Linked DNA regions of Danio rerio. The protein of the gene in region 1 purifies or fractionates together with the protein of each later gene. This does not show direct contact. Links are inferred from orthologs where the notes say so. Each region holds a gene or a part of one and is shown in the gene's direction. Other genes may lie near its edges. The genes, in order: atxn2l and lsm12a.

The links.
Region 2: the proteins of atxn2l (region 1) and lsm12a purify together in Homo sapiens (affinity purification with mass spectrometry; 4 studies listed by BioGRID and IntAct, with this or other methods). This does not show direct contact. The link is inferred for Danio rerio from reciprocal best matches to the Homo sapiens genes ATXN2L and LSM12.

Annotation. Positions count from the first base shown.
Region 1 is NC_133178.1:14,071,092-14,074,922, forward strand, and holds part of atxn2l (ataxin-2-like protein), read left to right. Parts: intron 1-1,611; coding exon 1,612-1,718; intron 1,719-3,831. UniProt on the Homo sapiens protein: Involved in the regulation of stress granule and P-body formation.
Region 2 is NC_133178.1:21,729,244-21,733,796, forward strand, and holds the start of lsm12a (protein LSM12 homolog B), read left to right. Parts: upstream 1-1,726; 5' UTR 1,727-1,734; coding exon 1,735-1,861; intron 1,862-4,553. UniProt on the Homo sapiens protein: Nicotinic acid adenine dinucleotide phosphate (NAADP) binding protein. Confers NAADP sensitivity to the two pore channel complex (TPCs) by acting as TPC accessory protein necessary for NAADP-evoked Ca(2+) release.

The DNA of each region.
Region 1 (3,831 bases):
AAGCGCTGAAGATGAGAATGAAGATAACACTGACAGATTTAGTGTTAGAAACCATCTAGTTACAAATAATGACACATCTTACTAGTGATCATGTGCTGAATGTTAATCCACCATCTACACTTTACCAAGAGTAGAAGACTTCCATTGGCTTCAAGTCTGCTAAGAAAAGTCTGTGGGATGGAGTTTTCAGGTAACTGTTTGCCACATCTAGCACGAGAGCTTCTGTTTAATCCTTCATATAATCGTCAGATGCTGTCCGCCGTGCAAGGGGCAGCTATATGTCAAATTTAACACCACGTAGACTACACCATTGCAAACGGGCTCACACTGAGTAAATTAATATCGCTACTCATGAAAAAAACGGTATTGCTATTAACATGTATGCATATAATAAGGTACAGTATATGTCAAAAGCATCAGTGCAATATCAGACAGCACTTGTGAGAACAGCACAGTCATACCGTTAACAGATTCATTCAAGCAGTGTGTGCAGGGCCGGTGAGCGCTCCGTGTATCTTTTGCTCACTCAGTTCTGTTATAAAAGTTTATTTTCTTGTGATAACGGTATTTTGTTGAGACATATTTTCCTCACACTTGCATACATGTATAAATTTTTTTACTTGTTAGTTTGATTAGTGTTGATTTCAAATACAATAAATATGTTTGTATAAAACCTGTAGTAACGGTGCTCATAATTGGTGGGTGCGACTAAATTTTGGCTGATGCGCCTACATTTTTTAAGTTAGGAGCACCGGTGCTACCAAGCAAAAAGGTCAGTTTCGAGCCCTGACCAGCCAGAGCGGCAGGATAGTTACACCCGGAAGTAAGGAGATCCACATTTTTGTCATTCATTCCGAATTTTTACAACAAACAAACATTTTTTAACACATTCTTATCTGCGCATGTGTTTTACCAGCAAAAACGCTAACATAAAAACCGGTAAATTTCGCAATCTATAATCCCTAATAATAACTTCTGTACAGAAGTCCCAAAACATTTTGACACTCGATGACACTCTAATACCCGGTCAGAAAAGTCTAGTGGCTGGGAATGAGCTTTTTACAGTGTCTGCTATAATGTTAATGTTGTTTTCGTGTCTTCACATAGATGAATATGGCCACTGTGTGAATGCACAGTATTATGAGCTTATTGCCACATTAGATCATTATGACAACATTATATATGCCTTCAGTGAATTCCTGAGGATAAACACCAAAAAATAACACAACTAAATTAATTACAGCAGTCACGATCGTCAGATCTAATATGAAGCAAGAGATAGCGATGACATATGATGACGTGTGCAGGTATCCCATTTCTTAAAAGTAAATTTTGAAGCCCTTCCCCATCACACTCTGTTTTAAGGGCCATGGGGTAGGGGTACAAAACTTGGGATTGGGACTTAATATCACCCTGCCCCTGATGAGCTCTCACCTCGCTCTTGGAGACCCCGTGAAATACAGAATATTGATTGATCCTGAAAGCTTCTCTAGATTTTAAGAATCCAATACTTTTAAACCATTAACTCGATCTTTTACCAAGGCCTAATATGATTATGATTTTGTATTTTTAACTAGTAAAGTGATCTTTGTTTTTGTCTTTGTCCTCCAGCTCCGCAGTCATTCTCTCATCACTCGGGCTCCATTCATCCTCAGCCCTCCAGCACCCCTACAGGCAGCCAGCCGCCCCCTCAACACCCCGCTCCCAGCCCGGGACAGGTACATCCGTCTGCTTAATTCTGTGCAATAGCTCTCTGCCAGAATAAGAATGCAGGATAACAGAAAAGCGAAGTTTGACCTAGTTTGATCAGCATATCATGACTGCACATTTGTTAATGCAGCATGTGAGGCTATGTCAAGCCTGGTTTAGATAGTCGGGATAAGTGCAGGTTTACAGCATTTTAAAACAGACCATAGGATAGAGCACAGATTTAATGATGCAGATGTGGATAAAACCTGATGTGAGCCAGTCAGGTAATGAGTTGAAAGTTGATCTGAGAAATCCCATTAATTTGCTCCAGAGGCTTATGCGAGCCATGTAGTATGTCTGAATTCATTCAATTCTACTACCAGCAAGATTCTGAAGTGTGCATCCCATGCACGCTTTGCTATGACATGATGCCCAGCGAGAAAATTTATGAATGGGAGCAAAGCGACACAACTCACGAGGGAAGGTTACGCGCTCATGGCGGATGTAGTGCGTCCAAATTCCATTCATACTACTCGCATACTGTATCGAACGCACTTTTTTTAATGGCCGAGTAGTGCATTTAAATTTAAATGCATTACCTTCTAAGTAGTAGGCGGTTTCGGGCGCATCCTTGGTCTCAAATGTGACCCTTGGACGTTCAGGAAATGTATCATGAAGATTATTAGCCAACTTACCCATTTACATTTTAATATTTATACTTTTTTATAACCGTTTTAAGGCTGCACGATTAATCGAAAATAGATCTCGATTCGACTCTACACATTATCTGCTTTTCTACAATTATATTACAATTATATTTTCAAGGTCAGGAGAGAAGCGTAAAGTCTTCACATTGTTTTATAAACATTGCTCTGCGACATGGACTCCTCCTCCATGGCATTAAAAGTGTCACATACTGTACATATAAGGTATAATTCACCCAGAAATGTAATTTCTGCCTTAATGTAAGGACTTATTCCCAGCAGCGAAATCACACTTGAGCTGACGCACTATTTTTTTACTGTGAGGATGCATGTGTGCCCGCCAATTAGGTCTACTTTTGTAAACAAAACCTGCATAGGCTGTGAATAACATTAATAAAGTTGTAAATAACGTTTAAATTGTATAACAGAGTGATTGTTTGGGAGCCGCGTGGTAAATATTTTTTTCGTGTGTTTTTATTTTATTTTCTTATAATGACTGCAGCCATGACATGAACCACATTTGGCAGTAAAAGTGAAACCAGCACGCACATCATTTAAAAGATCATATCTCATTTTAAAGTTATGATTACAACAAAACATTTTGATATGTTATTTCTTTCATAGCTTACACAGTGTTGTGCATAAAAATAAATGTTTACTGTGTCAGTTTATCTGCTCTAATCTATATAATGTTGAATGTAATGCAAAAAGGGAATCTGATAATGACAAATTGTCACTTTAGAATTAAAAGGTTCTGTCTTTTGTCAAAATTGAGTTATTGACATTCTTATTAATGTCAAGCATATGTCTCTAACATAATAATTCAACTTCAGAATTATGAATAGATGTGATTACTGTGAATTAACAACCAGGACATATTTATAGTCTGTTCAAGTCCACTATTTAAAGTCTATACTAAATTTAGCATTTTAATCAACAATAGACCTACAGATAATGTTGTTTTACCATGGTTTTGAGAAATACAATAATAATAACCTACTCATATTAACCTTTATTTTACTTCTACAGAATCGTGATTGAAATCTACAGTTCTGGATTTTTAAGCAAAAAATATTTAATCATCTGTCTACACTTTAATCTTTCTTTTTTCTTTCAGATAGATAGATAGATAGATAGATAGATAGATAGATAGATAGATAGATAGATAGATAGATAGATAGATAGATAGATAGATAGATATTGCTAATACTTTTGAACATGCATATACTTTACGAAAAATTTGCATTGAAATTATAAGTAAATGGCCAAGAATTTAAAGTGACTAAATAACATTTTAATTTTTAGTAGCTTTGACATCAATACAAGCTGATAATTTACTAGAATTGATCTTAGCCTGGATCAGGCTAGCTGCAATGAATAAGGTTAATTGCAATGAATAAGGAGTCCAGGTTAAATTAAGCCGGGATAGCTTGAATAT
Region 2 (4,553 bases), about 7.7 Mb from region 1:
GTAGTAATGATGAACTGTTTAATGCTCTGTATATGGCCGATGGTGATGCAGATGTATCCGTCCTGTCCAGTTATATATTTTCTGCATATCACCTTCAATTTCTGAGTTTATTTATTTGTGACAGCTGTTTTACTGAAGCTCATTTACTTCAGCTCGTGTTTATGGCGTCTTTACAGATTTTTCTATATTTGAATGGCCGTTTAAATGAATGATTAATGGTCAATACTAAATTGTTACTTTTATTAATGCAGTTTAATTATACATGTATTTATAGCTATATTTATTTTGGATTGAAATAAGAGAAATAGAGATATTATAAGTATTTTATAATAAATATAGTTAATAATTATTTAATTCTCATTGCAGTTGAAGTCAGAATTATTAAACCCACTGAATTATTAGCCCCCTTTTTATTTTGTTCCCCAATTTCTGTTTAACAGAGAGAGTTTTTCAACACATTTCTAATGATTATAGTTTTAATAACTCATCTCTAATAACTGATTAATTTTATCTTTGCCATGATGACAGCAAATAATATTTGACTAGACATTTTTCAAGACTCTTCTATACAGCTCAAAATGACATTTAAATGTTTGCTTATGTTAATTAGGTTAGCTAGGCAGGTTAGGGTAATTAGGCAAGTTGTTGTATAATGATGATTTGTTCTGTAGAATATCAAAAAAATATAGCTTAAAGGGGCTAATAATTTTCACCTTAACATGTTTTTTAAAAGATTAAAAACTGCTTTTATTCTAGCCAAAATAAAACAAATAAGACTTTCTCCAGAAAAAAAATATATTATCAGACATTCTGTGAAAATTTCCTTGCTCTGTTAAACATCATGTGGGAAATATTAAAAAAAAAAAAAAAAAACTCTAAGGGGGCTAATAAGTATGATTTCAACTATATATATATATATATATATATATATATATATATATATATATATTTTTTTTTTTTTTTTTTTTTCATATAAAAATGTTTGAGATAACCTTTTAATGTATTTAATGATGCATGTGGCACGTTTTTTTCTGCATAACACTAAATGTTAAAACAAAATAGCAAACCTAAAGGCTATATATATATATATATATATATATATATATATATATATATATATATATATATATATATATATATATATAATCTCAAAGAAAATAAATAAAATAAATGAACAAGTGTTTTAAAAATATCTAAACTTTTTAAATAAAAACTATTATCGCTATTATTTGACATTTTTTGTTCAAATATTTTTTTTATAAAAATATGACAATAATATTTTATTCTAAATACATAATATAAACAGCAAATAATTACTGTATTTTACTGTAAGTGATGCAAATAAATATTTTTCTGATTTAGACAAAAAGGCATAACAAATGGCTATGATAGCAGGTTTTCCCCACTGTTTCAAATTTCAGTCATTTTAAACAGACTTTTTCTGAAAGAGAAAAAAACACCTCATTCAGGTGCCAGAAGATAACCGCTGTCTCCCATATCATTTCAAAATACTCGTCCGAATAAAGCAGGAGGCGCGGATGAATGAGTGCTGTAGTAAATATATTCACGATCCACTACTCCATAGTAAAGTGGGCGTGACCTCGCTTGCGGCGGGTTTTTTTTGCGTCACTTCATTCATTCACACGCCACGCCCACCCACTCGCGCTCCCATCCCGTGCTGACGCGGCTGCGCGTGTTTACGTGCAGCGACTGCTCCGTTTCCTGGCGGAGAAGATGGCGGCTCCTGGACCAGGAGAGTATTTCAGCGTCGGGAGCCACGTCTCCTGCCTCACCTGCCTGGGGCAGCGCTTGCAAGGAGAGGTCGTCGCTTTCGACTACCCGTCCAAGATGCTGACGTTGAGTATCCTTTTGTCGTCGCGGCTTGTCATTGAATCGTCGGGATTCACAACTGTTAGAGGCCTGGTTTGTCAAAGAGGTTTGCTGCGGGGTGAAGTGAGTCCACCAGGCATTCGCTTCCGTGTTTCGCGCATGTCGAGTCAGGTGGTGCTCTTTTGGATCTGCGATTGGTTGCCACGTTTATAACTATGGCTTTTAGTTGATGGCCTGCAAATATTAGCACACATTTGGACTCGGGCGATAGGAAATGTAGATTTACTTTGATGTTTTTCAGCAATGTTGTGTTTTAGACGTCGTGTAAGAGCTTTTGTGTAGTTCTACTGGGTCCTCATGTTCAGAAAACACTCGAAAATGTCTGACAAGAATGCTGTAATGAATATTTCCTAACTTAGATGTTTTATAGATTGTTTGATTGCTGGTCGGTTTAGCTCGTGTGTATAAATTGTGCGGTTTTAACGCTCACAGAGACCACATGGAATTGACATTATTTTTGCTGCGGGGTTTTTGATTCATTCAAATGAGTCGAATCTTTTGAATCAACTCCCTTGTCGTTTCTGTAGATTCTGTTGTCATTGGTGGTAGCAGAGTGTGTATAAGTATTATTTATATTTCATAGTACGTATGCCACTTGCTCTTATATTAGTGTAATTGTCATTTTAATGTCACATAGTCGTCTATCATGTTTGCGAGTCCCTAAAGCTTCCCACATTAACACATGCAATACATTAAACTTACTGTTTGACATATTATTTTGTTGGAAAGACAACGAGATTGTGCACTGAGGTGAACTAGAATGATTCGTTTACATAAAAGATGCTCAACTTGACTCAGTCGACCGGGTCCACGAATCGTTTGCCTGATTCATTAACGAACATACAATGATATTAAACAGCTGTGGAAATAAGGCATGTAAATCCAGAAATGTCTGCAAAATTATTAAATCTAGCCCTATTTAGAAACCTATGGTGCTTGTCTCCTAAACAGGAGGGTTTGGCGCGTTTATTTCCAGCATCAGTCTTAGTCACTAATGGAGGTGAATGAGAGTGGACAGGCTGTCAAGCACACATTGCTGCTTTTCCCCGCACGCTTCTACGCATGCGTGCTCAGGGGGCGTCAGCTAGCTTGCCTTGAACGCTAACGTCTCTCTGCCTGACGTGCAGTAGTATGTGTAATGTGCACATCACAATTAGGCATTCTAGTTTGCGTTTTACATGCATCATTCTCTATTTTTATTATGGTTTTGGTCATGACGAGTGGTTTTCTTGCTAACCTGCTAATGTGCAGCCATTCATTTACATTAAGTCACTTCATGTCATACTATTTAATTTAGTCGTTTGTACTAACTTATATAGGGAGAAAATCTTATATAAATATACGTATAATATAAGCATTATATTTAATATTGTATTGTGAGATTACTCTTTCAGATGGTTGGCCTAGTCATGTATTTTATTGGTTTACACAAGTGATGATTAACCATCTTCACAAGTCTCTATTAACTGAATAGTTTTGACCAGACTGACATCTGTATATGTGGAGCTTTCCAGAATCAGTAAGGACAAGCTTCTATTTTATTCGTTTAACATGTAAACACACTCTTTGCAGCTCAGCAATTAAACAGACAAACAAATGGTTTCTCTGTTTGAGGGATTCGTCCCAACCTTCTGCATCAGGCCGTACTCACACTATGTACAGTTGCCTCGAACCGGGCCAAAGCACGCTTGTCCCCCCTCTCGTCTCCCCCGACGGCCCGCACTCACATACATCCGGGCCTGGGCACGCTTACATCATTGCTGCTGCGCTGTTCAGTGAGCGCTCTCGCTCAGCACAGTGGAGATTTCTCTAGTTATATTGTTTAAGTAGTATGATATGCAGTGTTATGCAGTCAAATATTTCGCCAAACTCTCCTTAGGGATGCGGTGACACGCAGTCAGATATTTCGCCGAACAGATCTGCCAACAGTCATGAAGTCCTCGTGCTGCAGGAATGAGGAGGTGTGCTGAAGGTGCTCAGCTGTCGTGCATTGAGGTGTCTGTGTATTTAATAAACTATGGCAGTTTGTGTTCATTGAACAGTAAGATTGATTAAAAAATCCATGAAACAGTCCCTTAAAGTCACGTCTTGCTTTCAGTTTTGGGCTTTGGCGCATTTTGCACTCACAAACGTACCGCGCCAAAGCCCAAGTTAACCATGCTCAGGCCCACCTCTTCCAACTGGGCCAGTGCCGGCCAAGTGTTCGGATAGCATAGTGCGATTAGGCCCTCAGTTGTCCATCAATTTTTTTTGTATTGATTGGCGGCCTAAATCAAAGGTTACCATACACCAAATTTGTCCCGCTGGCCCAAGTTTGGATATCTTTCCTCTGTAATATGCATTTAGAAAATAGATAAGTTGTGTTTTTACTTTATGTTGGCTCAAATCACAGATTATATTTTACTCATAAATACAAATCTAAAAACAATTGGGTTATGTGTTTAAGTAATTCTAGACAATAGTTTTGTACAGTTAGCATGGAAAAATTCAATAGGTATTCCATCAGCGCCTCAGTTTCCTCAGCAAGTTGAGAAGTTTTAATGTTAGTACACAGACTTTAAACGTGGCATATAGATCATTAATATTGAGTGTTCCCACATATAATATTGTTTCATGGTTTGTTAACGCAACATTTATTTTATAACGCACAAATTATCGATCAG